Elephas maximus indicus: one gene and its partners. The protein of the gene in region 2 purifies or fractionates together with the protein of the main gene of each other region. This does not show direct contact. Links are inferred from orthologs where the notes say so. Each region holds a gene or a part of one and is shown on either strand. Other genes may lie near its edges. The genes, in order: YTHDC2, LARP7, SF3B1 and NAT10.

What was found.
Region 1: the proteins of LARP7 (region 2) and YTHDC2 purify together in Homo sapiens (affinity purification with mass spectrometry; 3 studies listed by BioGRID and IntAct, with this or other methods). This does not show direct contact. The link is inferred for Elephas maximus indicus from reciprocal best matches to the Homo sapiens genes LARP7 and YTHDC2.
Region 3: the proteins of LARP7 (region 2) and SF3B1 purify together in Homo sapiens (affinity purification with mass spectrometry; 4 studies listed by BioGRID and IntAct, with this or other methods). This does not show direct contact. The link is inferred for Elephas maximus indicus from reciprocal best matches to the Homo sapiens genes LARP7 and SF3B1.
Region 4: the proteins of LARP7 (region 2) and NAT10 purify together in Homo sapiens (affinity purification with mass spectrometry; 3 studies listed by BioGRID and IntAct, with this or other methods). This does not show direct contact. The link is inferred for Elephas maximus indicus from reciprocal best matches to the Homo sapiens genes LARP7 and NAT10.

What each region holds. Positions count from the first base shown.
Region 1 is NC_064820.1:123,199,302-123,207,032, reverse strand, and holds the start of YTHDC2 (3'-5' RNA helicase YTHDC2), read right to left. Parts: upstream 3,017-7,731; 5' UTR 2,804-3,016; coding exon 2,596-2,803; exon of another isoform or gene 2,248-2,595; intron 1,339-2,247; coding exon 1,248-1,338; intron 1-1,247. UniProt on the Homo sapiens protein: 3'-5' RNA helicase that plays a key role in the male and female germline by promoting transition from mitotic to meiotic divisions in stem cells.
Region 2 is NC_064823.1:37,905,239-37,912,523, forward strand, and holds the start of LARP7 (la-related protein 7), read right to left. Parts: upstream 3,013-7,285; 5' UTR 2,827-3,012; intron 1-2,826. UniProt on the Homo sapiens protein: RNA-binding protein that specifically binds distinct small nuclear RNA (snRNAs) and regulates their processing and function.
Region 3 is NC_064824.1:95,769,845-95,777,619, forward strand, and holds the start of SF3B1 (splicing factor 3B subunit 1), read right to left. Parts: upstream 3,020-7,775; 5' UTR 2,941-3,019; coding exon 2,913-2,940; intron 1-2,912. UniProt on the Homo sapiens protein: Component of the 17S U2 SnRNP complex of the spliceosome, a large ribonucleoprotein complex that removes introns from transcribed pre-mRNAs.
Region 4 is NC_064825.1:89,338,321-89,345,206, reverse strand, and holds the start of NAT10 (RNA cytidine acetyltransferase), read right to left. Parts: upstream 3,017-6,886; 5' UTR 1,907-3,016; intron 1-1,906. UniProt on the Homo sapiens protein: RNA cytidine acetyltransferase that catalyzes the formation of N(4)-acetylcytidine (ac4C) modification on mRNAs, 18S rRNA and tRNAs.

The DNA of each region.
Region 1 (7,731 bases), on a different chromosome or scaffold from region 2:
GTGTTTTGGGCCCTTGGGTCACAGCATTGCAGGAGGGTGTGATTTAAGTCCCACCCTTACTCAAGTTATGCCCTTCCATGTGGTGTGGCCCGCCTCTAAGGTATATGCGTGGATGCCCTGGCAGGGCTCTCTCTCTGTGCCTCAGGATCCCATGATTGATTGACTTCTGCTTCTTGGGACTGGCGCCAGAGGTCTGCAATCTGACTTGCCAATTCTAGGATTCGCGGGCCTCTGCAGCCCCATGGGCTGGTGGCGTATTGTGACCTGATTGTCAACTTCTGCAACCTTGTGAGCTAGCAGCCTGTGGTCTGAACTTCTGGTTTGAGTTCATCAGCCCCTGCAGCCACATGGGTTGGGAGAGGCCTACTCCTGACCCACAGATTTGGGACCTGCCAGCCTCTACAACTGCATGAGCTATTTCCTGTACACAGGTTGTGAGTTCTGTGAGACGCTGCAGCAAATCAGCGAACCCAAAGATGGGAGGGAGGGTACTGAGAGGAAAGAAAGTAGTCGATGTTATAGATGATAGAGTAGTATAGCAGTCTGGAAAAGTTGCCCAATTGGGACATCTTTAACCTCTACCTCATAGGAACCAGCTTTGTGCTGATCTTATAAATTATTTGTTTACCAGACCAAACTGTAATAGTGACAATATTGAGAAACTCTGTTCTTTATCAATCTCACAATCTCTATTCCCAAAATGAAACAGCTCCACAGAATTTTAGAGTTCTTAAATTTGGATGGCTCAAATGACTTTTTCCCCTATTGGTCAGTGAAACACACACACACTACATAGTTTCTTCCTGCTCCATTTAACCATTTCTAATCATCAGATTCTTCACTTCTCGGTAGGAAAGAAAACAATAAGAATTTGATCTAAAGCTTATAATTACAGAGATAAGCTCTATAAATAACTGTACTTAGTATCATTTTTCCATTCATTCTTTAAAAAATAGGTACTTTATTTCTATTAAAAAAGAAAACATTTTTCTCAAGCAATCAACTTCAAGTTTTAAACTATTTTTTCTTACACGTTAAAACTTAGCTTTTTTTTTTTTTGCCGCAGGGCTAGGGAGCACAGGAGGAAGAGATGTCAACTGAGTACAGATCTGATAGTCTATCTACATGCAGGTAATTAACAATGTGAATCTAAAACAATAATAACTATTTAAGTGTAGTCAGAAACATTTTCCCTTTTTTTTGCAAATAATCTTTTCCTTTTTAAATAAAGAGAGTTATCAGCTTACCCTTTACTTTTAGAGACCAAACCAAGAGACTGACTCAATCGATGAATAAAGGCTCTTTCAGTACTGGTCAAAGAAGAAGGAAATTCCATTTCTATATGGAAAAAGACATAAAATCGTCAGTACCACTTCTGGATAGGCAACCTTCTTTCAAGGTGCTTCAATACACACATATATGCAAAATATGAAATAAAAAATCACAAGCATATAATCATATTTATTCTTACTAAATTTATGATATGTAGATATATTTTTTTTAGATATTAACTCAATAACTACTAAATGTCTACCAGAATTTTCATATTAATAAAATGTCATCTAAGTATTAGACCTAAATGTGATAAAGAACTCTGATGTTCATCAAACAGTACTCCTATTTGTGCTGCAATCTTGACTTGGTATAATGGCTAATGGACATATTTTACTACCTTAACTTAGTCCTCACTTGTTTAACAAAATGTTAACTTCCATCAACGATGAGGTATGCTCAACCATTATGAAAGCTCAACATCAAACTCAATTTGCTTTGCTTTTGAAACTTCAGAGAATTCATATTTCAATATTTCAGGCTGAATTTTGTAGTTATATATTGCTCAGGTTTTACATTTGTTTGATGTAAGTTCAGAATCACTCTGTTCAGGTCATTCTGTTTTGGACCATAAGCTTCCAGAGTTAGGGGGTCCTCTTTTTAACCCAGCGACTCAGGATGAACACTGAATATACATCGTACAGTTCACCACAGGTCGGCTGCTGGTTCTGCATTTGGTGACCCAAGACAAGCAGCTTTCTAACCTTAAGAGACACGGAAGATGCTTCACATGCCGCAACAGGTTTAACTTTTTTCAATGTTTATAACGCTCCTAGGATTTGAACAAAGCACCACATATTGCCAATGTATTTATGTTTGATTTCCTTCTATTCTTCTACTTTTATAGGTTAAACACGACTCTGATAAGACTACAATCTTTTACTTAAAAAAAAAAAAGATATCAAATACCAGTACCTAAAAGACAGTGGCTTAGCCTCTCCACGGAGAAAGAAATGCCTCTGTCACGGGTAACAACCTGACCTTTTCGCCTTCTGACGCCAGGCAAAGTGCCCCATAACCCTACCGATCCGAGGGACACTGTTCGGTCCTACACATCCCACCCGAGGGCGAGGACCGCGGTCCCAGCCCCCGGCCCGCCTCTGAGGCCGCAAGGAGTAGGAAGGTCGCCGGCTCACTCGGGTGGGTTAGGGTGTGCGGCCCAGGTCCTCTCTCCTTCTCTGAGGTGGAGGGGGCAGCCCGCTCACTCCGAAGGTCCGAGTTTGGGGGAACGCCAGCCGGCGGGGTCCCTGTCAGGAACCTCACCTCTCTGGTCCCCGTACCGGAATCGCTCCAGGGCGATATTGACTGCTATCTTCACCTCCTCGTCGATACGAATGTCCTTCAGCCCCCTGGCCCGGCCACCGCCCCCGAGGCCACACTGCGCTGGGCCGCCCCCTCCACCGCCGCTTCCGCCTCCACCGCCCCCGCCGGGAGCTGGGGGCCGCGGAGAGACGCTACTCGGCCTGGACATGGTCCTGAGGAGATGTTCTCCCCGCAGGAGAGCGGCCCAGACCTGAAGGCTGGCGGCCAATGCCGGGGCAGTGGTCCCCGAAGGCCACTGCTAGGACCTGACGGCTCGGCAGGTAGCCTGGGCTGTGTCGGGGTCACAGCAAAGCCCCTCAGTCACCAGAAAAGGCGAGGAAGCGCCCGCGCCACTAGAGCCTCAGCGAGCTCCAAAGCGCAGGCGTGGTGACGTCACCAGGGCCGCCGGCGCCCGTGACCTCAGCTGGGCGCCGCGCCGCGCCTCGCAACCGGTGCTCACCAAGCAGATACTTTATGTCTTCTCCCTCCTTTCTGTCACGAGTCTCGTTCGTTCTTTTATCGTCACTCATCATTTGGTTTCATCCTTTATTAATTCATTAAATAAACATGTATGGGCTCCCACTATATGCCTGCCACTATGCTTGTTGTTAAATGCAGTCAATCCGTTCCGACTCCTAACAGCCCTCTGTTCATGAACGAAACACTGCCTGGTCCTGTGCCATCCTCACAATCGTTATCCTTAACCCCACTGTTGTAGCCAGTGTGTCAATCCATTTCATTGAGCTTCTTCCTCTTTTGGCTGACCGTCTGCTTCACCAAGCATGATGTTCTTCTCCAGGGACTGATGCCTTCTAACGACATGTCCAAATACGTGAGACTAGTCTCGCCATAGTTGCTTATAGGGAGCGTTCTGTTTGTACTTCTTCCAAGACAGATTTATTCATTCTTTGGCAGCCTATTATTCTCCAATACCACAACTCAAAGGAATCAGTTCTTTGGTCTTCCTGATTCATCGTTTGGCTTTCACATGCATATGAGACGATTGAAAACGTCATGGCTTGGGTCAGGCACACATTAGTCTTCAAGGTGACATCATTGCTTTTCAACACTTTAATGAGATCTTTTGCAGCAGATTTGCCAAATGCGATGCATCTTTTGATTTTCTGACTGCTGCTTCCATGGGTGTTAATTGTGGATCCAAGTAAAATGAAACCCTTGACAACTTCAACCTTTTCTCCATTTAACATGATGTGGCTTTTTGGTCCAGTTGTGAGGATTTTTGTTTTCTTTATGTTGAGGTGTAATCCGTACTGAAAGCTGTGGGCTTTGATCTTCATCAGTAAGTGCTTCAAGTCCTCTTTCAGCAAGTAAGGTTGTCATCTGCATATCGCATGTTATTAATGAATCTTCCTCCAATCCTGATGCCACGTTCTTCTTCATATAATCCAGTTTCTCGGATTATTTGGTCAGCATACAGATTGAATAGGTATGGTACAAGGATACAACCTTGACACACACCTTTCCTGACTTTAAACCAAGCAGCATCCCCTTGTTCATTACAAACAACTGCCTATTGATCTATGTACAGGTTCCTTTGAGCACAATTAAATGTTATAGAATTTCCATTCTCTGCACTGTTATCCATGATTTGCTATGATCCACACAGTCAAATGCCTTTGCATAGTCAATAAAACACAGGCAAACATCTTTCTGGTATTCTCTGCTTTCAGCCAAGGTCCATCTGACATCAGCAATGATATCCCTGGTTCCGTGTCTTCTGAATCCAGCTTGAATTTCTGGCCATTCCCCGTAGATACACTGCTGCAGCCACTTTTGAATGATCTTCAGCAAAATTTTATTTGTGTGTGATATTAATGATATTGTTCAATAATTTCTGCTTTCGGTAGGATCACCTTTCTTGGGAATAGCCATAAATATGGGTCTTTTCCAGTCTGTTGGCCAGGTAACTGTCTTCCAAATTTCTTGTCCTAGAGGAGTGAGCACTTTCATGGCTGTATCCGTTTGTCAAAACACCTCAATTGGTATTCTGTCAATTTTGGAGCTTTGTTTTTCACCAATGCTTTCAGTGCAACTTGGACTTCTTCCTTCAGTACTATTGGTTCCTGATCACATGATACCTCCTGAAATGGTTGAATGTCAACCAATTCTTTTCGGTACACTGACTCTGTGTATTGCTAGTCCCTTGATATACTTTGGGGAACAAGATAGACAAGGTTCCTGGTCTCGTGGAATTTACATTCTAGTGTGTGTAGGGTTGCCAGATTTAGCAAATAAAAATACAGAATACCCAGTTAATTTGAATTTTAGGTAATAAGGAATACTTTTTTAGCACAAGAATCTCCTATGCAATATTTTGGGCATACATATACTAAAAAATTATTTGTTGTGTATCTGAAATTCAAATTTAGGTGGTCATCTATATTTTATCTGGCAACCCTAAGTGGGGAGGAGAGGCAACAAGTTTGGTAGATGATTAAATGGTAGTAATAAGTGCTATATAATGTGATGGAATGGGCCCCTTTAATTTGAAAGATCAGGGAAGGGTAAGAGAACTTTCTCTTGCTTATATACAATCCCACTAACATAAACCCAATCCTAGCCACCGTGGTTGCTTCCTATCATCCAATCTCCAGAGAGCAACCAAAGTGATCTTTTAAGTTCATAAACTAGTTAGGATTGCACCTCTACCACAGCCCTCCAATGGCTCCTCGTTGCAACTAGAACAGTCAATTCCATATTACGACCCTAAGTGATCGGACCTTGCCTACCTTCATGATCTTATCTCCCACCACTCTCACCCTCACTTTAAATCCTCAGATGTAATAATATTTTTCTGTCTCTTGAACACATCAAGTTTGTTACCTTCTGAGGAATTTATACTTGCATAGTTTCCTACTGCACAGAGCAATCTTCCAGAACTTCACATGGACATCTCTTTCTTATCATCTAAGGAAGGACCCCATCCTTTACCTAGATAACCTCTCTCACCTCAGTCTGTTATCATCTGCCACTGTTTGAAAATATTCATTCATTTATTATTTGCTATTATCACTAGGATATAAGCTCCTTAAGAGCAGAGACCTTGTATACCTTGTTTGCCATTATTTCATCCACACCTAGAAATATAGGAATGCTGTAAATATGTATTAGTTGGCCATATTTTAGAATCTAGAATTAGGATTGGTCATCTCTGCCCTCAGAAAACTTTAATCATAATCTCTGAACTCCTAATATCTTTTGTCTACTAATAGAAACAGTACTGAATGAGCAGGTCCTCCTCATGGCCCTGGCATGGTCACTGTGATCGTTTACATTGAGTGTCAAATTGGTTGGGCCATGAATCTGGGTGGTTTGGCAGTTATGATATAGTTTGTCATTCATATAATGATGTGATCACCTGCGTGATGAGATTTGATACAATGTGATCACCTCCATGATGGGATCTGCTGTGAGTAGCCAATCAGTCGAAAGGGAGTTTCTTTGGGAGTGTAAACTGCATCTAATATAAGTGGACTTTCTGGCAAGGCTCATGGGCTTTTGCTCGCACTGGATCGTGTGCTGGCTTCTTTTAATCTGACCTCTGGCTCTTGGGATTTGAGCTAGCAGTTTAACTACTGTCTTGCCTGCCCATCTTTGGATTCATCGGTCTTCACAGCCTATGAACCAAAGCCCTGCTGTCTGACTTGCCAATCCTGGTTTCCCCAGCCCCTGCAGCTACATGAATCAGGAGAAGCCTCCAGCCTGACCTGAATTCCAGCCTCTACAACTACGTGAGCCATTTCCTTAATATAAATGTCTCTATATTATTTTTTATATATGTATTTATGTGCTTTATTGGTTTTGCTTCTTTAGAGAACCCAGCCTAAGACAGTCTCCAATGAACTGGGTGAACATTTATTACTACCTTGATCTCAGTAGATCATAATTTCCTTAGCTATGCAATAATAAAACCCTCAATGGGGACATTGTCTTTATTTTCCCTAATCTCCATGTGGAGTAGTTCTATTAGTATATTTAAACCATATGAAGTACCGAGTTCTATAAAAAACCACGTGAAGTAGTTCTATTACCCATGACACAAATGAGGAAACTGAGACTAAAAGAGATTAAAAAATTGCCCCAACACCATGCTGTTGATAATTACTGGGGTAGGGATGGAAACTAGGCCAGCAAATCATGAAACCCATCTTCATTCTAGGACAAAACATAGAAAGTAGGTAATATCTAGATGCACCAAATGTGTTATGATAAAACTGAAAACATTTTGCATGGGGGTCAGACACATACTGCTATCAATCGCACACCATCTCCTCTTAGTTCCACCATTTATTGACCCCATCATTTATTAGCTTTGTGGCTTGAACTACCTAATTAGCCTCCCTGAGCTTCAATTTTCTCATCCTTAAATGGGTATATGTAAGACTAATTTTATAGCCTTGATGTGAATACAGCATATGTTAAGTACCTAGCTATCATTAGGTATTGAAATGCCTAAATGTTTGTATTCCTAGTGCCTAGCAATGGTATAGAATGTGTTTGAAATACACGAGAATAACGACTTGTCTAAAGCTACTTAGCAATAAGATACAATGTTTGTCAAATTCTACATTTTCTAATATTTTTATATGCCCATAGGAATTTCTAGGTGCTTAAAAGCAGAACACCGCAATTTTACTTTTTCCATGTGTTTCAGAGAAAAATTAAAAGGTAGGGGAGGTATAAAATATTTATAAAGGATTTCAAGTTATCTTTGTTTTTCCTATTTTATAGTTGTGTGGTCTAAAGCAAGGTATTTAACTATGCTATTATTTCCCCATGAGTAAAATGTATATGATAAAACACGTTCATCACAGTGTTATTATGGGGATTAATGTATATTAAATTACTTCATGCAGATAAAGTGCTTAGCAGAGTTCCAAGCTCATCCTTTACATTCAGTACTGGTTAAGATGCTTTGGCTTCAAGGAACAGAAAATCCAAGCAAAAGAGGCCCCAAATAGGGACATTTATCATCTTATATAACAAGAATGCACACAAATGTTTACAGCAGCTTTATATGTAATAGCCCAAAACTAGAAACAACCCAATGCCTTTCAACTGGTGAATGGTTAAACG
Region 2 (7,285 bases):
ATTAAGCAAAAAGTAACGTAAGATATGGTACAATTTAGCTTCTCTAGTGATGCAATGGTTAAAGCACTCTGATGCTAATGGAAACGGTTAGAACCCACCAGCTGTTCCTCAGGAGTAAAGACTTGGCAATCTGCTCCTGTAAAGACTACAGCTTAGGAAACCCTACGGGGCAGTTTAACTCTGTCATATAGGGTCGCTATGAGTCAGAATCAACTCCACGGCAGTGAGGTTTTTTTTGTTTTAATTTTTTTGAGTCAGAATCAACTCAATGGCACAGAACAACATAATGACTAAAGAAGATCAGCAAGTTACAAGGCAGTATTTTTATTACAGTCTCAGTCCGTAAAGTCTGTATTTTCTCAATGTTCTGTGATAACAAATGTGTGAATTGTCATTCAGGGCTAAATAAACTTACTATCTTCCCTCCCCTGGCCTAGTTCTCCTTCCACCATTTTCATCTTGTTTAAAGATGCTCTATTCTACTGAGCTAACCAATCTACCTATTTACTAGTTGTGTGAATCTTAGGCAAGCTTGCCCAAGTTACCTCATCTCTCTGTGGTCTATAAAATGGGGATAAACATCATTCTTACCCAACAGGGTTGTTATGAGGATCAAAAAAAAGCAGAGCACTACAAATTGCTGTTAAGTAGTATGCACTCAACACATTATCATTTACCAGTGTGTCTCTACATCCTGTCAATTCAACCTCTGAAATGGTTCTCATCTCCATTTAGTGCTCTCCATTACTACTGTCACTATATGGTAGGGGGACAATTCACATAAATTGCTCTAGAAGTCATCCATCCTTCTGCAACTTGTCTAAGACACAGATCTGATTTGGTGTCTGCTGGTTCTTTGTTGTCAACCTCAAGTCAAAACTTTCCACAACAGAAATTCCTTAGCACTTTCCTGTGATCTAATTTTTCTTTTTTTTTGAACTAATGACATTGGACTGGCTTCTAAACAGGGACTTTAAACAAACAATAAAACGTTACTCTGTAACAATGCCCCCAACCCATTGCCTCTAGTTGATTCCAACTCATAGCAACCTTATAGGGCAGAGTAGGGTTTCAAAGTCCCATATTTTCCAAGAAGCAGCTGGTGGATTCGAACTGCCAACCTTTTTATAACCTCCTCTAATTTACCAAAATGCATTCTATGTTCTAATCCAGGGATTCTTAACCCGAAGTCCATGGAACTTAAAATGGATTTTAGGAAGTATTGTGAACCCCAAGTAAAAAAAAAAAGTAAAAATCATGATTTTTGTAAAAGTACGACATAAACATAAATACATGTCAAAGACTGTACTTCAATAATTAAATGGGGAACCAAAAACGAACATAACAAAGATTGTACTTCAATAATCAATGCGGGAACAAAAAACGAACAAAAAAAAAAAAAGCTCACTACTGTCGAGTCAATTCCCACTTATAACAAGCTTATAGGACAGAGCAGAACTGCCCCATAGGGTTTCCAAGGAGCGACTGGTGAATTTGGACTGCTGGCCTTTTGGTTAGCATCGGAGCTCTTAATCACTTCAAAACCAGGCTCCAAAGAGGGAACTAGGTGTTAAAAATCAGTTCAAATGAGAATTAAAGAGCAGACACATATATAGGTAATTAGGAATGATGAAATTAATTTTGTAATAGATGCAAAACTGATCAGGGCAATAATTACATCTTCACTGGACAACACTAATTTGCATAATCAGTTTTCTACAACTTACATACTAGTAAAACAGTTCAATGACAATGAAACGCAAAGGTGGAGCATGAGCTAAACAGGCACTCAGGGATTTTTTTTTTTGGCATTTCAAAGTTTTAAAATTTTTCCTCACAAAATTATATGCAAAGTGTTTTCAAATGTAAACATGCACTTTTCCTGGGGTGCTTATTCATAGCTTTTACCACATTTTCATAAGCACTGTTGTGCCAACAAAAGTTAAGGATCGTTGTTCCAGTAACAATGGTCCCTGAACATTTTCTTGCCTCTGTGCCTTTGCTGAAATGAGTCTTCTGGTCTGTCTTGCCTTATAAAACCCCTGATTCAACTTCCAAGTCCCAGATAAAATGTCATCTTTCTCTCTACGATCTTACATCACCACTTCTTCCCTAGCTGACTGCTTCCTCATCTGCTTACCCTAAGTATATTTATTAGCATTCAGTACACTGTACTTAGTCCTTGGGTGGCTTAACCTGTTAAGTGCTGACTACTAACCGACAGCTTGGCCATTCAAAATCCAGCCAGAGACCTCGGAAGTCAGGCCTGATGATCTAATTCCAAAAAGTCACAGCCTTGAAAACCGTATGGAGCATTCCTACTCCGCACACGAGGATGCCGCGAGTCGGAATCCACTCAAGAGCAACTAACACACTATTTTCGTAACTAGACGTTCAACTGTTCGGGAACGAGACTGTTGCTGTTACGTGCCATCAGTCGGTTCCGACTCATAGCAAATCACTACATTCTCTATGCTTTGACAGCCGATGGTCAACCCCAGTCTCCCCAAATAGGCACTTTCCTTATTGCTACATCCTCTCTCGGCATCCGTACTTCCTCAAGGATGCTGCCAAAGGAGAGGCGTGCCCCAAACCTCCCAATGGCGGACCATATGCGCCCTCTCGCTCTGAAAACTGGAACTACAAGGCTAGCCAGAGGACTTTCGCGCACGCGCACAAAGAAGTACAACAAGGGCACTAAGACTGGGTTCGTGGGAGGGGGCGGGGTGATTAGGATGACAGATAGAATGGACTGCACGAAAAAGGACTGAGAGGAAATTAGACCTCACCCAACCTGAGCAATCCTATAGGCCACTTGTCACTTACTCGGTTCAGTTCCCCAAACACAGGGACACAGACTGCGTCCTTCAGCCTTTGCCGCCTTCCGATCCTTATAGTCGCGCTTCTTTTCGCGTCATAGCGTGAGCGACACCGTTCTCCAGCTCCCCTCGAGAAAGGCCGGCCCTGAGCCTGTGCGCCCGTCGTTACGTCACAGGCTTGGGCTGGCTGCCGTCGGGCGGGGCATCGGAAGGCGCGGCCGGCTGAGGAGCTTCGTAGCCATTGAAGAATTTGATTGGCAGTTTGAAAAAGGCGGTTCTGGTTGAGGTGGAGGTGGGCGGGCTAAGTAGTGGGTCCTGATCTGGTGTGGTCCCCGGTTAATTACGTCACACTCTTTCGCGGGAGAAATTCGAAAGTGGATTTGTGCAATGGGACAGGTGAAGTGAGCTGTTTCCTGGGGTTTTCGGGCAAGGAGGAGTGGATAGACAGGACGACTTAAGCGAGAGGCTGCATGGCTGTTTTGGGACGAAGGGACGAAAGAATCTGCTCCGCAAGGGGCAGACCGAGAAGGAAGCTGTTCGGGGGTGGGTGACAGGCACAGCTTGCTCGGATTGCCTCTAATAATTGGTGTCTCGACTTCACCGCTTTTGCCAGCCCTACTTTGCAATTTCTGTGAGGACCGGGGAGGGTTTTGGTGGTTGTTTTTAGGACGGACAATGTAATGGGTCAAGCCTTCATTGTCATCTGTGAACTATTTAGGGTGTCCATGGAAACCCTGGTGGTGTAGTGGTTAAGTGCTACGGCTGGTAACCAAGGGGTCGGCAGTTCGAATCCGCCAGGCGCCCCTTGGAAACTCTATCGGGCAGTTCTACTCTGTCCTGTAGGGTCGCCATGAGTCGGAATCGACTCGACGGCAGTGGGTTTGGTTTTTTGGTTTTATAGATCCTGCAGGCAACCTTTTGCATGTATCAAAAGAAAAAGCCCAAGAGTATCTCGTAATTATCAGGAAAATTGGCTCATATTTAACTGAGAACACCGAATTGACACATATATACACGTATATCAATTAATATGTGTGTATATGATTGTGTACCTGTATGTGTATATGCATGCCTGTACATATGTAATTACCACGGAACACCTGGAGCTCTCCACACCACTTAAAAAAATTTATTTGCAAAGTAATTTTTCACCCACTAGAGATGGGCCAGCACTTGAAGTGTCTGACAGCTGTGTATTGATTACCACTTTGTGAAATTTTTTTATCCTTGCATCTCACATGAATATATGATGCTGTAGTATAAAATAATTTTTCTCATTTAATGGTAGGAAAGGGGTGTTTACTGAATGTAGGTATTAGAGCTCTTTTAAATATTTTCTAATCTAATTATCCTTTTTTCCTGAGTTTTAATCCTACAATCTCATTTACTATTTGTAAGAGTTTTTTTTAACCTTCTTTTAAAATTGTAAATCCCAGAAGAAATTTCACTAATTTGGGAAAACAATGGAAAGTTTATCTTACATTTCCTAAATATTGTGTAAGTAACCCTAAATTAGTAAATGCTGGATTCCTAATCTTTAAATCATAGTGGCAATATCACAGTACCTACTCTTCAGGATTATGAGACTGATAAATATTGCATGTAAAGTATCTAGCCTAATCCCTGCCTGACACACAGTAGCGACATGATAAATAGCCCTATAGTATAGCATTTGTGAGTACGAGCGCTAGAGTTTAGGCTACTTGGTTTTGAATTCTGACTCTGCCATTTATTTACTTCAGTAGTTACTTAACTATTATGTACCTCAGTTTCTTTTTTTGTAAAATGGAGATAAAAGTAATACCTACACCAAAAATGTTGTAAGCATTGAAAGCATTTTTAGCAGTGTCTAGCATATACTTGCACTGAATATTATTATTATTAAAGAGATCTAAGATTAATAATTGCCTCATGGTGGGCACAGTGCCTACACTAAATAGTCTCATCTACATACACAGAATGTCTAGCCCATTCAGTGGCTGGGAGCAAGTAGCTGTAAAAGCGCCAGCTAGTAAGTGTTTCTCTGTATCTCTCTATTATTTTCATAGTACTCTGGCAATTCTTGTGAGCTAAAGGGAAGGGATATAGGAATGTGGGAGTTATAGCTTTGAAAGGCAGTGCCTCTAAGTCCTGTCCTGTGACCTGTGTCTTCAGGTAAGTATTCATACCTCATTTGGCTACCTCTTACTCCATTCTTTCTTCACATGTCAGCCAATGTGATCTTTGTAAAACCCAAATTAGATTATGTCATTTTATTTGTTACATCCTGCCATGGTTTCCCATTATTGTCATAAACCAAAAACCAAACCCATTGCTGTTGAGTCAATTCCGAATCATAGCAACCCCACAGGACAGAGTAGAACTGCCCCATAGAGTTTCCAGGGAGCACTTGGTGGATTCAAACTGTCAACCTTTTGGTTAGCAGCTGTAGCTCTTTAATTTTATTGTGCTTTAAGTGAAAGTTTACATCAGTTTCTCATGCAAAAACTTACACACACATGGTTATGTGACCCTAGTTTCTCTCCCTATGATGTGACAGCACATTCCTCCTTTCTTCCCTGTATTTTCTGTGTCCATTCAACCAGCTCCTGTCCCCCTCTGCCTTCTCATCTTACCTCCGGACAGGATCTGCCCACTTAATCTCATGTGTCTACTTAACCTAAGAAGCACACTCCTCACCAGTATTATTTTATGTCTTATAGTCCAGTCTCTGTCTGAAGGTTTGGCAGCTGTGGCTCTTAACCACTATGCCACCAGGGTTTCTATGGCATAGTGGTTAAGAGCTACGGCTGCTAACCAAAAGGTAGGCAGTTTGAAGCAACCAGATGCTCCTTGGGGCAGTTCAACTCTGTCCTGTAGTGTTGCTATGAGTTGGAATCGACTCGACGGCAGTGGGTCATTACTGTCATAGAAAGTCCAAACTCCTCAGCAGGACATATAAGGCCTTCTGAATCCTATTATTATTTACCTTGTCACTTCTTATCCAACCACTCACTCTTCACTTGACCTCTTTATCATACTATTTAGAGTTCCTTGATTATGCTTTACTGCGTTGCCCTCATCCCTTTGCACATATCAAATTCCCTTCTGGAAAGTACGCCTCTGGCATGTTATGGTTAATGGTTATTTGTAGGTACAGCTTAGACATTGCCTCCTTTTGGACCAAGTTTGGTGCCCCTCCTGTACTTATTCCTGTCATATCTTGTTGTAAATACTGCTTATTACCCTGCTGTATTGAAAATTCTTTGAGATCGGCAAAAGTATTATGTTCATTTTTGCATCTCAGCCTAGCACATCGTAAACCAAAAAATCAAACCAAACCTGTTGCTGTCTAGTCAGTTCTGACTCATTGTGACCCTGTGTGCTACAAAGTAGAACACCGTAGGATCTTTTGGATGTAATCCTTATGGAAGCAGATTGACAGGCATTTCTTTCATGGTGCCACTGGATGGGTTAGAACTGACAACCTTTAGGTTAGTAGTCGAGTGCAAACAGCTTGTGTCACTCAGGGACCTCTGGCACATAGTAAGTACTGAACAAATATATGTAATTTATAAATAATATACATTGTTATATGCCATCAAGTCAATTACAACTCAATGACCCTGTGTGGCAGTAGAACTGCCTCATAGGATTTCCTAGGCTGCAATCTTTATGTGAACAGATCACCAGGTCTTTTCTCCTGTGGAGTGGCTGGTGAGTTTGAACCATCAACCGTTTGCTTATCAGCTGAGCACTTAACCACTGCGCCACCAGAACTTCTTAAATAATATATATAGGTGGCATATTTTATGTATTTTATATGGATAAAAAAGGAACTGAACCCACAATCTCAAATTATACCTTTACTGGATCCTCATAGGACTTTAAAGCCTGGGTTCTCCAAACTGCATCATGCAACATCATTGTCTGGAGGGCTTGTTAAAACACAGACTACTGGGCCCCTACCTCAGATCTTCTGATTCGTTTGGTCAAGGATGGGGCCTGAGAATTGGCATTTCTAACAGGTTCCCAGACGATGATGCTAGTCCAGGGACCATACCTTCGGAACCACTGCTTTTGAGGGAAAAAAGAAAAAAAATGTTTCTTTGTTATGTCTATTAATTTTTTCAAGTCACCCTGAGTAATGTGATTTTAAGATTTTCAAATTCGCACACAGAACAGTTTCATCCAATATCATAGGATAGCTACATACCCATTACAACAGTTTTAAGAAAGATTTTTCTTTGCAGAAGTATTATACTGCCTATTTAGTGCTAGATACTGTTGCCATGAGTCAGAATCAACTCAGTGGCAACGGTTTTGTTTTTTTACTGTGATATGGACTTTAAAAAGCAAAAGAAAAAAAAATTAAAACTCAAGGGGGCCATCTTGTGGTGACCATAGCAATTCTTAAAAAATTTAATGAGCGTGTAAGGAACCAAACCTGTGGTAGAAAATCATATTTTCTGATACATGCTATGCTA
Region 3 (7,775 bases), on a different chromosome or scaffold from region 2:
ATTTTTGAGCAGTAGATCACCAGCCCTTTCCTCCTAGACACCTCTGGGTGCACTCAAACTTCCAACCTTTCAGTTAGCAACTGAGCCGGTTAATTGTTTTGACCACCTAGGGGAAGGAAGACAGGCACTTTATTCTGCAGACATTTGGAAGCCAAGCTCAAACTTACCACCCTGTTTCAAGCCTTCCATAAGCTGATGCTAACCTAACATTTCTTCCTCTCAGTTCAGGAGGTTCCCAATAATGAATAAGTCCTGCATCTATCTCAGCCAAACATGTCCAAACCTACCTAATTCCTTCAAAGGTCAGTTTAAGTGCACCCTTTCTATAAAGCTCTCTTAATTAAGTCCAGTATAAATTAATCTCTTAATAAATATTGATTAAATACGTGAGCACCCATTAGGTACTAGGTACTGGACATACCAAGGTACAGTTCCTATATGAAACTACTTCAATCAAGTGGAAGAGAAAGCCTTAATACAATATCCTAAGTAAAAGTTGGAAACCCTGGTGGCACGGTGGTTAAAAGTTTGGCTGCTAACCAAAAGGCTGGCAGTTCGAATCCACCAGGTACTTCCTGAAAACCCTATGGGGCAGTTCTACTCCATCCTATAGGGTGGCTATGAGCTGCAATCAACTGGATGGCAACGGGTTTGGTGTGTTTTTTTGGGGGGGGCGGGTATTTCTATTAAGTATTTATCACTCTGTCTTCTTTCAGGAGCCCTGGTGGTTCAGTGGTTAAGATCTCAGCTTTTGGTGAGCAGTTTGAATCCACCAGCCACTCTTTGGAAACTCTATGAGGCCGTTCTACTCTGTCCTATAGGGTCTCTATGAGTCTGAATCGACTCCACAGCAATGGTTTTGCGTTTTTTTTTTTTTTGGTCTTCTTTTAATCATATGCAGATGTTTCCCCTATTATATAAGCTCCTTGACAGCAGGAGGTCCATCTTCATTTTTTATACTGCACAGAGATGGGCAGGGCCTTGTACACTGAATGTTCTAACACATTCTTTGTGTCATCAGTTAATTCACATTGATAGAATAACCCCAAATAGTAATTCTGACCAATAAATTGCAATCTTCTATCAACCAACGCTTTTAGCTGGGTTTCTAAAATGCGGGAAAAAGTTAGGACTTTATTGATGTTCCTGTCAAAGGTTCTCTTATGATGACGATACCAATAAACAACTCATCAAAGCCACAAAATGGGCCAAGGGAATAATCTACTCCTGCATGAATAAGAATGGCAACATATTTACATTTTCTAATTATTTAACAAAAGCTATGTTTGATATACTCTAAAACCAAGAGGAAAAGTACTTAAGGACACGTCTGGATTAAGGCAGTGTTTAAATCCTATACACCCAACAAAAATAATAATAAAGTCATTGACAATTCATTAGCAAGCCTCTTAAATTGCAGAGACCTGGACCTCGGGTTGGCCCAACCATTCTATCCACACTCTAGTCCCAACCTACCTTCCCAGATTCATCTTCTACTATTTCCCTGTTTGCACCCTCTTTTCCTGCCACAGCAGACTGCTCAAACACGCCGTTAACTTTCACAGCTCACACTACCTTGTTACAAAATGCTCTCTCAGGCTCAGATATTCTCCCCTAGTTGAAAACTGATTGATCTTTTCCGACCAGGGACATGTCATCGCCTCTGTGAAATAACCCTAAATATAAATTAATCACTCCGTTCCGAAGACTCCTGAAACATACTGCTTTTACTTCTATCTAAGCACTCGTTTGGCCTAAGAGAATGTATATACATCTATTTCCGCCGTTAAAGAATAAAATCTGTGACCTTATATTCTTTGGTCTGCTAACCGAAAGGCTGATGGTTCAAACCAGCAACCACTACGCGGGAGAAAAACGGTGGCAGTCTGCTTCCCTAAAGATTACAGTCTTGGAAATCCTATGGAGTGGCTATGACTCGAAATTGACTAGGCTGCAGTGTGTCTAGTTTTGGTTTCGGCATTCTTTGTTACCCCTCACAGAATAACACCGAGCCACACATAAAGAACATGGATGGTACGTGAAATAAAAGTAACTCTTTCTCTTGGAATTGTGTTCAGTGAAGATTTTGGATTTCACATCAGATATCAAGGAATGCAGTTCTAACTTACCACGCTTCATCTTTTCTGAAAAGGGACCCCCATTTCCTATCACCTCTGGGCCCGCTCTTAATACTCCTTAGTAGACTTCAGCCTATTCCCAACATGTCCGTAAATTTCGTATAATGTGCTCTGTATTCCATAAAACGATCAACTAGTTTGAACGCTTCGAGCATCGATAACATTAATGTGCCCTCACCTCCTTCTACCTGCTTCTCCAATAGCCAGCTCCAAAGAAAAACAGCACTACTATGCTAAAAGTGACTGAGAAAAATTTTACACCCAAATCATGTCGTGCAACAAAAACAAGTAACCCAGACACCTGAAGACACATATTACTCAAGGTTGGGAGTAGTGGGCCTCTGTTCAACCAAACCCGATATAGTGCTGCCGAAAAGCAGTTGCCGTATTTCAGTGCCTTTCTGACTTTCTTATGTACAAACTATTCCGACAACAGTTCCCAGAAACGACTGAGACTTTCCTCCCACACCCGTTTCCCCAACCCCTTGCGCTGGAATCCTCTTTAGCAAGCAGTTTAAACAAGGCCCTCTGGTCGGAGAAGGGAAGCAACAGTACCCAAGCACGGAACAAAGCGCCTGTCGGGGGTGTATGAGTAAGACGCCATTACATGGGGCAGTGGCCTGCGCCGCTGGCGCCAAGGCGACGACGCAGGCCTCGAAGCACGGGCTAGGACCCCAACGAAAAAAACACACAGGAAGAGGCAAAAACCTAAGAAGACAGAGTCTTAGCAGCCTGGGCAACAGAGAAGACACTTAAGCAGAGGAAGATCCCTACCTTCGTGAGTCTTTGCAATCTTCGCCATTTTACCCACTCGAACACACAGACGGAACTGGCGCTCCTAAGAACTTCCGCTCGCCGCCGCCGCCGCCACGGAGAAAAACAGCTGGAGCTGCTCTCTGCGCAGGCGCAAAACGGGAGCGCGCTCCGTGGGTGACACGTGACAGAACAGCCATCTAGCTGGAAAAGCAAGGTGAATTGTGGGTATGGGAGGAGCTAGGGCTGGAGGCTGATGTGGCTTACTTGTTGACTCAGACGGGAACCGGGTGAGCCCTAGCGCCCTTAAGTGTGTAATTTTGCCTTGGAGAACGTGGCTTTCACGAGGACAGTTTAGAACAGACACTGTACGGTAAATTACGGTTTCGGGGCTGGGAGAAACTTCAGCAGGTCTTCAATCCCCTTTTTCCAAATTCACCGGAAGGTGTGTCAGAGCCAGAGAAGTGTTCTTTAGCATGTCTGTACTTGCAATGCTTAGTTATGGAGATAGTCAAAACAGCCTCATCCTTCGCGCTGTAATTCAAAGTCATTTTTTTCCTTTGGTAATTGCCTATCATTTGTGTAAGGGTTTTGTTTACAACATAAAGTACCCAAACATTATTGAATCTCATAAATAGCCCAGTAAGTAAAGTTGTTGCTAATCCTAATTAAGAAATGAGAGAAAAACTAGGGAGAACATGTATAAATTGTTTAAGGTCTCACGGTTTTTAAGTTGCACAGCAGGACCGTTGCCCCCCTGACTTAACTTTATGGGTTCTTAGAAAACCACTGACCGTCAGCAGTAAACACTATAAAATGCGTCTCTAAATTTTAAACATCCTTCCTACATTAGGAATTTTAGTCAATGAGAGTACCGCCGCCTTTTTTTCCTATGCATCAATATAATATCATAAACTCTCACATTTGCCTAGGACTTCAGAGTTGAAAAAGAACAGATCTCAAAGGGAAGTGTGGTCCAGGAAGCAGCTTAGGAAAACAACGATGGAGGTTAGAGCCATCAAAAAGGAAAGAGTGTACCTTGACGTGTGATCGATTCACAACTCATATTTAGAAAAGCATTAGTAACAGAAAAAGTGCATTTTTGTTTTGGTTGTTGTTAGGTGCCATCAAGTCGGTTCTGACTCGTGCCAGGTCCTGCGCCATGCTCACAATCGATGTTATGCTTGAGCCCATTGTTGTAGCCACTGTGTCAATCCGTCTTGTCGAGGGTCTTCCTCTTTTCCGCTGACCCTGTAGTTTACCAAGCATGATGTCCTTTCCAGTGTCTGATCCCTGCTGACAACATGTCCAAAGTATGTAAGATGCAGTCTTGCCATCCGTGCTTCTAAGGAGCATTCTGGTACTTCTTCCAAGATAGATTTGTTCATTCTTTTGACAGGCCATGGTATATTCAATATTCTCCAACACCACAATTCAAAGCTGTCAGTTCTTTGGTCTTTCTTACTCATTGTCCAGCTTTTGCATGTATATGATGCGATTGAAAATACCATGGCTTAGGTCAGGTGCACCTTAGTCTTCAAGGTGACATCTTTGATTTTCAACACTGTAAAAAGGTCCTTTGCAGCAGATTTGCCCAATGCAATGAGTCTTTTGATTTCTTGACTGCCGTTTCTATGGGTGTTGATTGTGGATACAAGTAAAATGAAATCCTTGACAACTTACGTATTTTCTCCATTTATCATGATGTGGCTTATTGGTCCAGTTGTGGGGGGTGGGTTGTTTATGTTGAGGTGTAATCCATACTAAAGGCTGTAGTCTTTGATCTTCATCAGTAAGTGCTTCAAGTCCTCTTCACTTTGAACAAGCAAGGTTGTGTCATCTGCATAACACAGGTGGTTAATGAGTCTTCTTCCAATCTTGATGCCCTGTTCTTCATATTGTACACCTTCTCGGATTATTTGCTCAGCATACAGATTGAATAGGTATGGTGAAAGGACACAACCCTAACACACACCTTTCCTGACTTTAAACCATGTGGTATCCCCTTGTTCTGTCGAACAACTGCTGCTTGATCTATGTACAGGTTCAAATTAGTGTTCTGGAATTCCCATTTTTCACAATGTTATCCATAATTTGTTATGACCCACACAGTCAAATGCCTTTGCATAGTCAATGAAACAGATAAACATCATTCTGGTTATTCTATTCTTTCAGCCAGCATCCATCTGACATCAGCAATGATATCCCTGGTTCCATATTCTCTTCTGAATCTGGCCTGAATTTCTGGCAGTTCCCTGTCAGTATACTGCTGCAGCCTCTTTTGAATGATCTTCAGCAAAAATTTTGTTTGCGTGTGACATTAATGACATTGTTTGATAATTTTCCCCTTCGGCTGGATCACCTTTCTTAGGAATAGGCATAAATATGGATCTCTACTAGTTGGTTGGCCAGATAGCTGTCTTCCAAATTTCATGGCATAGACAAGTGAGCAGTTCCAGTGCTGCATCTGTTTGTTGAAACATCTCAGTTGATATTCCATCAGTTCCTGGAGCCTTGTTTTTTGCCAATGCCTTCAGTGCAGCTTGGACGCCTTCCTTCAGTACACTGGTTCCTGATCATATGCTACCTCTTGAAATGGTTGAATGTCAACCAATTCTTTTTGGTATAATGACTCTATATTCTTTCCATCTTCTTTCGATGCTTCCCACGTCTTTTGATACTTTCCCCATACTGCAACTCAAGGCTTGAATTTTTTCTTCAGTTATTTCAGCTTGAGAAATGCCGAGCGTGTTCTTCTCTTTTTTATTAGCAGCAGTGAAAAATCAATTTGATGAATTAAAAAAAAATTCAGTTGTATAATTTGCATTTCTTTATTAGGTTAAACAATAGTTGGGGGAGAAAGGGGCATGAGATAAGAGAAGAGAATGTAGATTGTAATACAAATCATTGACAAAATTTTAGTTCTTGGGTTGGCAGAAGGATCCATGAATATTCATTATATTATTATGTTTTATAACTTACACATAAGTTCCATGTATTCTTTTATATATACAAAATAGTAAAAATCATATATGTATTTTTTTTTTATTTATAGTATATTTTAAAATGATGAAAGGAAAAAGAATGAGAAATAAGGAATGGGAGAAGGGAGTTACTATTCATCAATAATCAACAAACTAAAAGAATTCATATTGGCAAAGAATCACAAGGACATTGCATTCTTGGGTCATGTTTAAAAAAAATAAATTTGTATATACAGGGTGAGCTCAGTCATGTAAAAAAATATATGCAAAGGAAATTCACTAAAAATGTTAACAATAAGTGTTTATGAATGATGGGAATATGGGTGATTTTTATCTTTTCTTTATACTTTATAGTATTTTCCGGATACTTGGCTATGAGTATGTATTATTTTTATAACCAGAAAAATATGTTTTAAAAATATGACAACCAGCTGCAAAGTGGTCTCACCGTCCCTCCTCCTCTTTCCAAGACAGAGATAAACTGAACCTGCTGGCCACATCATGTACGTATTTCTATGGGTTCCTAGGTATTAAATTACTTTCACAGGGCAAGGACATATACAGGATAATGAGATTTGAGAGAATTTGCCAAAAATCAAGGGAGACTCCCTTTTTTTTACTAGTCTTTAATAAAAGAGTGAATTGGACATTCCAGCAGTAAAAAACAAAGTTTGTTTTTTTTTAACAAGTCTCTTTTACATCCTATTTTTTATAGTATTAATAAATAATACTGAGACATTACTTACCCCCTTCAATCCAAACCTCTTCGGGTGAGGTTTTTTATGTCAAAAGTCAGAGGGGTGACCTGGTCCCTGTTTTTATAACACAGACAATTGACAGTGGTAACATCTAATTAAATCTTTCCATTTCTTGTCAGGGGTACTTGGATGCTGACTTTATACATATATGTAGCAAAAAAAAAAAAACCCCGTTGGCATTGAGTCAGTTCTGACTCAGCGACCCTAACAAGACAGAGTAGAACTGCCCCATAGGATTTCCAGGGAGCAGTTGGTGGATTTGAACGGCCAGCCTTTTGGTTAGCAGCCAAGCTCTTAACCACTGTGCCACCAGGGCTCCATAAATTGCAGAGTAGCAAGGATATATAATTTCTCTAGACAGAAAGCAAGGTATAATAATTTTACAAAATGTTAAATGCTAGCTGTAACTCGCATAAATTACCTTTGGAGATAAAACTCTAAAGGCCTTCAAGTTCCATTCTATAGGAACCCAGGTGACAATTTCTCAGGTGAAAAAAGGGTTGTCACAAGACAAGTGGCCACAATCTTGATCTGCAGTGTTGAGTTTTCCAGGGGTCTCATATCAAAGGGGTATCATACTCTGTCCACCCCAGGCCAAAAATATATTTCCATTTTCCTTTATATTATGCCTAAAATTCCACAATTAGAGTTTTATTTCTGAAAAGTTAAGGTATTTCTTAGCTATATTAAAAAAAAAAAGTCCTGATGGGAGGGTAGAGAGGGTTAGAAACTGGCAAAACGGTCACGGAAGGAGAGACTGGAAGGAGGGAGCGTGCTGACTCATTAGGGGGAGAGTAAATGGGAGTATGTAGTAAGGTGTGCATAAACTTATATGTGACAGACTGACTTGATTTGTAAACTTTCACTTAAAGCACAATAAAAATTATTAAAAAAAAATCCTGGAGATAATGTTCTTAATATGTCCGTCAATACACCTATAATGTCTAACTTTTCTTCTAGTTTCGGCTAACCTGACCAACGTCTCTGCTCAGGGAAACAGCTCTGAGTTGTTCCCTTGGACGAGAGATAGGCACCCAGCCAGGTATCTAGTACCTGGCCTGGAATACAGGACACCTTGCCCACAGACAACAGAAGTTACTTGCTTAGCCAAGATTCCTTCTCTCAGAAGTTTGAACTGGAAA
Region 4 (6,886 bases), on a different chromosome or scaffold from region 2:
CAGTGGCATAGGGAAGAAATCAGCCTCACGTTGAAAATTAGGAAACTGAGGTTTGGGAGGTGAAGAAAACACTTCTTCAGCCTAGGAAGTCGGCAGGGAAACTGGAATTCACAACTCTACTGAGAAGTTAAAAAAATCGGAAACTTAAACATCAAAAAATATGTATATGTAGGAGAACGACTTAAATGTATAATGGTATATCCATGAAATAATAACGGGCAGTTATTCCAAAAACTACCTAAAAATATTATATAGATGCTTAGAGAAAACAACACAGCAAGAGAAAGTATGATACTTTTTTTTTATATACATATATATACAATATACAGAGAAAAAAAAAACTGTATAAAAATGCCACAATGTTGTTATTTCCAGATGGTGGGATTGCAAGTGATTTTTATTTGTTCTTTTGGTTTTTTAATTCATGTTATTAACAAAATTAGGAGAAAAAAAGCAAAGACTATTTCTGTGATGAAATGTGTTTCACTGTTTCTTCAAGAGAGGGAAAACCTAATAAAGACTCATACAAACAAATCTCTAAAGTTAAGTGATTATACAAAAAAAAAAACTGCACAATTACTATAATAAGTACACCAAAGAGACATCAAGAAATCAATTCTATTACTGCAATATAAAGGTAAACATAATACACTTCTTAAAACTTACAATTCCTGCTGCATTCTAAGTGTTGTTGGGTACCACTGAGTCAATTCCAACTCATAGCAACCCCATGTGACAGAGCAGAACTGCCCCATAGGGTTTTCTACGCTGTAATCTTTATGAGAGCAGAGGTCTTTCTGCTGAGGAGCTGCTGGGTGGGTTTGAACTGCCAACTTTTCAGTTAGCAGTTGACCACTTAACCTAAACCTTAACCTTAACCATACCTTAAGTGTCCCCTGTAGCCTCCCAATCCAAGTATAAATCTTTAGCAGCTCTGTCTTTACTAGAAAACACTATGTCACCACCAACAGTCCCTGCTTTATCAGGAAAGATTCAAGTATAAAGAATTCAAGCATCACAAGGCAGACAAGTGATGGAGACAGAATCACACTCAGGTATGCCTGACTTCAAAGCCCGAGCTCTTTCCTGTTCACCACTTTGTCCTGCTTGGAGATCTTGTGTTGAGGGCCACAAAAAGATTCCACAAAACTCAGTCAACACCTCATTACAGAGGACTGCTTTTTGCTCTAGTTGCTGTGCTTCAGAAGCAGTACCAGATAAGGTCCTTAGCTTCAAGGTACTTTCATTCTCCTTGGAGAAGGTATTTAAGAGAAAGAGATGAGAGACAACTGAAGACACATAAAATAAGATGTAAAAATAATAGCTACAGCCAGCGGTCTGATGAAGGAGAGATTAGTGTGGATGGAGTTGCCATGGAAGGCTTAACGAACAAGGAGGGCCTTGAAGTAGAGGAACGATGATTATTTCTCCTTCACTCATCTATCGTTTAACAAATACAGATGACACACCAGTCTAGAAGTACTAGTAAACAATCTTGAATGTGACTACTGAAAAAATGATATAAAGAACAAGCGGAGTAGCAAAGGGCGCGAAATCAACAGACCGCCTCAGTTCAACGTCCAGCGCTGCAACTAGGAACTGTTGGAACGCTCCGCGGAGGGCGAAGTGCTGTCACCCACCTACCTCGCTCCTCCAGCTAATGATCCCTTAAGGATAGGATTCTAGCAGCGCTGCCTCCCCACCCCCACCCTCGAGCGACAATCAGCCCGCCCGAGAGTGGCTACACTTTGGGGAAGAAGGGATCCTGTCATCTGGAAGCGCCCGATGGTCGGCGTTGGCCGATGCTCGGATACAGGCTTCGTCCTCGGGACGGTTCTCTCCCGGCTGCGGGAGGACACGGACGCCGACCTCGGCACCCCTCCCCAACCTTCCCGTGATGGGGTACCTGAGGCTGCAGCCCAGAGGATCCTAGTCAGCGGCGAAGCGGAAGCACGTGAGAGCAGTGCAGCCCCAGAAGTGAGGAGGGTTAGCGGATGCCCGGCCGCCTGCTCTCGGATGTCAAGAGCGACGAACATTCAGCTCAGGCGTTGGAAGGCAGTAAAAGCACGCGAGGTAACACGCGGAGAGCGAAAGGGACCTTCCTCGAACCCTGTCGCAGAGTGATGACGTCAGAAACCAGCGAGACGCTTCTGCCACGCAACTCCCGCTTTGCAGTTTGGGCCACTTCTCGCGATAGCTGTGGTGCCGAGGCAACTTGTGTCTTTAGTGTGTCATTCCTAACTAAACCAAAAAAAATCTGTTGCTGTCGAGTGATTCTGATTCATACAGACACTACAGGGCCGAGTAGAACCGCCCCATGGGTTTCCTAAGCTAATCTTTACAGAAGCAAACCGCCACATCTTTCTCCCACGGGGCGGCTGATGGGTTCAAGTCTCCAACCTTTCCGTTAGCGGCCAAGAGCTTTAACCACTGTACCACCATGGCGCCTTATACCCTAGCTACTAAGGGCAAAACACAGATGTGAAATTTAGATTTATCTTCCGCATCCCAAAGCATGTCGTTGTGCTGGGGCTAGTGTGGGTGTCCTGACACGGTTGGGTGCAGCACCCGCTTCTTGTGACCCAGGGTTTCACTGTTAACCTCATTGTGCGAGACGACTGGCTCCAAAAATATGTGCACCATTTTTTGATCCCCTTATTTCACCTCCCATTGTGACGTGAGATACGGAAACTCATTGATTTCACCTGATCCTCCCTCTACCCCGCAATATTGACACCTTGTGGAACCGTCTGGAATTCGTAGTTTTCCATCCATTACAGCTGCTATACTTTGCACGCTTTCCTTAGAACTCAAACTGGCCCTCAAATGACGCGATTCCTCTGAAAGCCAGCTCTGGGGGTATTCCGTTGTACAATTACTTTCCCCAGGCAAACTCGTTGAAGCCCTTGACTCAAAGTGCCTCCAACACATATTCTGTACTTTTACATTTTTGTCTTCGTCAGATTACTCAACTTCAGTTACACATATCCAACTGCTTGGATACTTCAAACTCATAATGTACAAATAAATTCATTTTCCCCCCTCATCCCTGTAAACCCCTTCCCCAACCACCCACACCCCTAACTCTTCATGTATTTGTGGCCACCACTCATCTAGTCCAACTCCGTTATCAAACTCTTTTCTAATCAATTGTCAGTATGCCAGATACTATTTTGTCCACGAGATAGTGACCAAAATGTCCCCGCCCCACCCCATACTAGGTTTACATGGTCCTACTTTTAAATGCTATTAACCAAGTACCAAGTAAAATGCGAGATTCTGCAGAGGGGCAAGAAAGGCCCCCAAGATGGTGACAACGGAGCAAAAGACCTCAATGAATAAAGGAGCCCCAAGAATATTTGAGTGAAAAGCCTTCAAGGCTTAACAGACATATGACAAAGGCCAAGATGGGAAAAATCTTAACAATGCAGCCAGTGCAGCCACAGTCCAGTGAGCAAAAGGGAAAAGGGCAGAAAATTAGGCCACATAATACAAGGCTTTCTTGAACACAGATCGAGAACTTATTCTAGATTTGATGGAAAACCACTGGCGTTCAGGGAGCAGGTGTGACAAGACCTAATTAGCCCTCTTTTAAAAAGCTTGCTCTGGCTGTGGTATAAAAACTACACTACAGAAGGGTAAAAGTAGGAGCAGGGAGAACCAGAACCATTTTAAGTTATTGCAGTTATCTGTTCTAGGATGGTAATGCTGTCTGGCAGTCACAAGTGCTACATGACACCCCATGTATTTTAAAGGTAGAACCATGTGCTTTTGATGGCAGATTAGATACAGGGTATGAGAAAATCAGTTTCAATCTGACATCCTCGAACATTCTGATCAAGATGTTGACTCTGGAGTTCAGGGCCTAGAAATATTTAGAAGTTGCTAAAATGCTAACGAATTCAAAGCCATGGGATTGGATGACATCACCTAGACAAGTCTGACAACCCAGACGTTAAGAATTCAAAGGATAATGAGCAGTGGCCAGGTTTGAGGCAATTTGTAGAATCCATTCACCCCACCCTACCCATTTGTGTTATAAGCATCTCACATGGGCTTCACTGCAACAGCCTCCCTACAACTCCTACCCATACACTCAGTTCTCAACACTACACCATGTTTTTTAACGGCAATTTTATTAGGTAACCCATCAACTTCCCACCCGCCACAGCTTAAAAACCTTCGTTTCCAATTGTTAAGCGACAAAACTTAACATGGAATGTAAAACATAAAGCCCCGATTGCAGGCCTTACCTGTTTCTCCAGCCTGTTTATAATCTTTACTTTCTTTCCACTTGGGCCAAGTAGCCTTCCCAGTCACTGGAGATAAGACCTTTGGACATGTTCTTCTCTTCCCCTCTTTGCTTAGTTTATTACATCTCTCCTTCAAGTCTTAGCTCAATTATCCCTTTCGACCAAGTCTTTCCTGATCATTTTAACATTGTGGTCTGTAATGTCATGGCCTTCACATCTATCATAAACCATTTTTTGTGTCACCAGTATCTCTGAGCAGGAACCACCGTGATTTTGTCCACTCAATGTCTAGCACTGAGCCTGACTGGCAAATAGATAGCCAAAATTGTTTAAGTCTTAGTGGTTCATTACAAAAGTTCCCGAATATAAACACTAGAAAGAAAACCAGTACTTAGAAAAAAGGAATATACTAAAAACTTGACCACATCAGGGACAAATCCCTGATCTTTCACAGCCTACACTCAAAAAGCAGGCTGCTACGTGGACTGGATTGGGCTTCAGAACAGTTTAAGAAGATATTAAAATCCTGACTGAGAGAATGTAGTAGGAGCCTAACTTTCTCTTGAGACTAGGCTACCAAACAGATTTCTTTAATCCTTTTCTTCCCCCCTCAAAAGTAATATTACTTCTTAAGACATTTGCTGGTTGGTTGGTATACACAATTGAAACAGCCCTCTCTCAAGGACAATAAGGAATCAGATTTTAACATGATTTAATGTAATGCGCGAGTCCTGGTGGTGCAGTGGTTAACAGCTCGGCAGCTAACCAAAAGGTCGGCAGTTTGAATCTACCGGACGCTCTTTGGGAACAGTATGAGGCTGTTCTACTCTGTCCTATGGGGTTGCTAGGAGTTGGAATCAACTTGATGGCCAACAGGTTTGGTTTTATATGGGGGGTTTAATCTAATGTGATTTAAAAAATTGACTAGTTTTTTCCAATACTTCTGCAGAATTCAAAATGTGAAAAGACACAGAGATGAGTCTTAACAACTTAAAATCATTTTCCTAAGCTTTCTTTCCTTTTCCATTCTATATAAGGGAAAAGCTCAAGGGCAATACTGATTCTTTACAATTTATAGTTTTTAAAACAAAGTGCTTAGTAAGAACTCAAGTGGCATGTGGATCAGGAGCTTAAAGATGAAGTAAAAGGTTTGAAGTTAGTGCTTACCTGCATCCCATTTTCCCTAATACTGATATGTTCTTGAAAAAATAGTAAACAACCCAAAAAATGTTAAGACACTTAGGAGGCCACCTGCTCCACTACCTTCTACATTTTATGAATTGGTTGTCAACTGCATCTCAGTTAATGAGCCTTCTGAGAAGCAGCCCACATTCTCTTGTCTCCTCTAAATGGGAAAAGTCTCCATGCAAAAGAGCTGCATGTGTAAGAAGACAAAAGAACTATATATGCTAATACATTTTAAGGGTATTTAGTTTAATAACAAGATATATTAACTGGAAAAAAAAACTTATATTCTTAGGAATATTAAACAAAAACCAAACCCATTGCCTTCAAGTCGATTCCAATTCATAGCGACTCTACAGGACACAGTAGGACTCCTCCAGAGTTTCCAAGGAGTGCCAGGTGGGTCCGAACTGCCAACCTTTTGGTTAGCAGCTGTAGCTCTTAACCACTACGCCACCAAGGTTTAGGATCTGGAAATAAAACGGTCCTAACCAAGATAAATGATGACGTCCTATCCTAAATTTTAAAAAAGAAATTCATTACCCATGTGAGATGATTGATACTGTGCGTCTATAAAAGTCTTCTGTATGGGGAGTCTTACTACAAGAAGAAGCTACACAGACATGTGTGACAATTACTCCCTTACAATTCTGCTAAAATATGTATTTGATCAAACAAAGGCTCTCTGCATCTAGGATGAGCACTCACATATTATAAAGGACACTTAATACCAAGACTCACATCTTGATGAGATAAAAAGTTCTCTGCTCCATAATGAGGCACTTCTTTAAAAAATATAGTCTGAATTGAGACATAAAAGCTTTACATTTAGACTATGATGACAGAATGCAAAAAAAGTATACTATTTGAAAAAGAACACTTCTTTTAAAAATTCACATAGAAATAAATCAATTAGCTACTAAACTTTTACACATTCACATCTTCACTAAGGTACAGAAGTTTGAAAGCTGGAAGGAATTTCTTCCCATCCCACCTTGAAACTGATTCATAAAGAACGTCACTATATGAAGAACTTATTTACTTCAACTTTGTAATGTTAAATGTAATTATTTTCTACACAGACAATTAGCATAACATCAACTAGAGATTACCTACTAAACTACAAATATTTTATCCGCCCCCCTAAAATACAGCTAATACATGGTTGTGGTACATCCCAGGCAGATGTCATATAAAGCACGCAAGGGGAGGTGCTAGCAAAAGAAATACTCATTTACAAAAGTAAACAGAAAACCCTTCCAATATGATGTACCACAACCACACAAGAAAAGTCAAGAACTTATTTTATTTTAAAATAAACATTGAAAGATCTGCCCCCAACTCCCCTACAAAACTTTTGAATGTGGAACGTTCAACAGCCTATCATTTTAATAGGGTATAAAACCAGCAGAAACTCCAGTAGTCTAATGGTGAGTATATGAGAATAG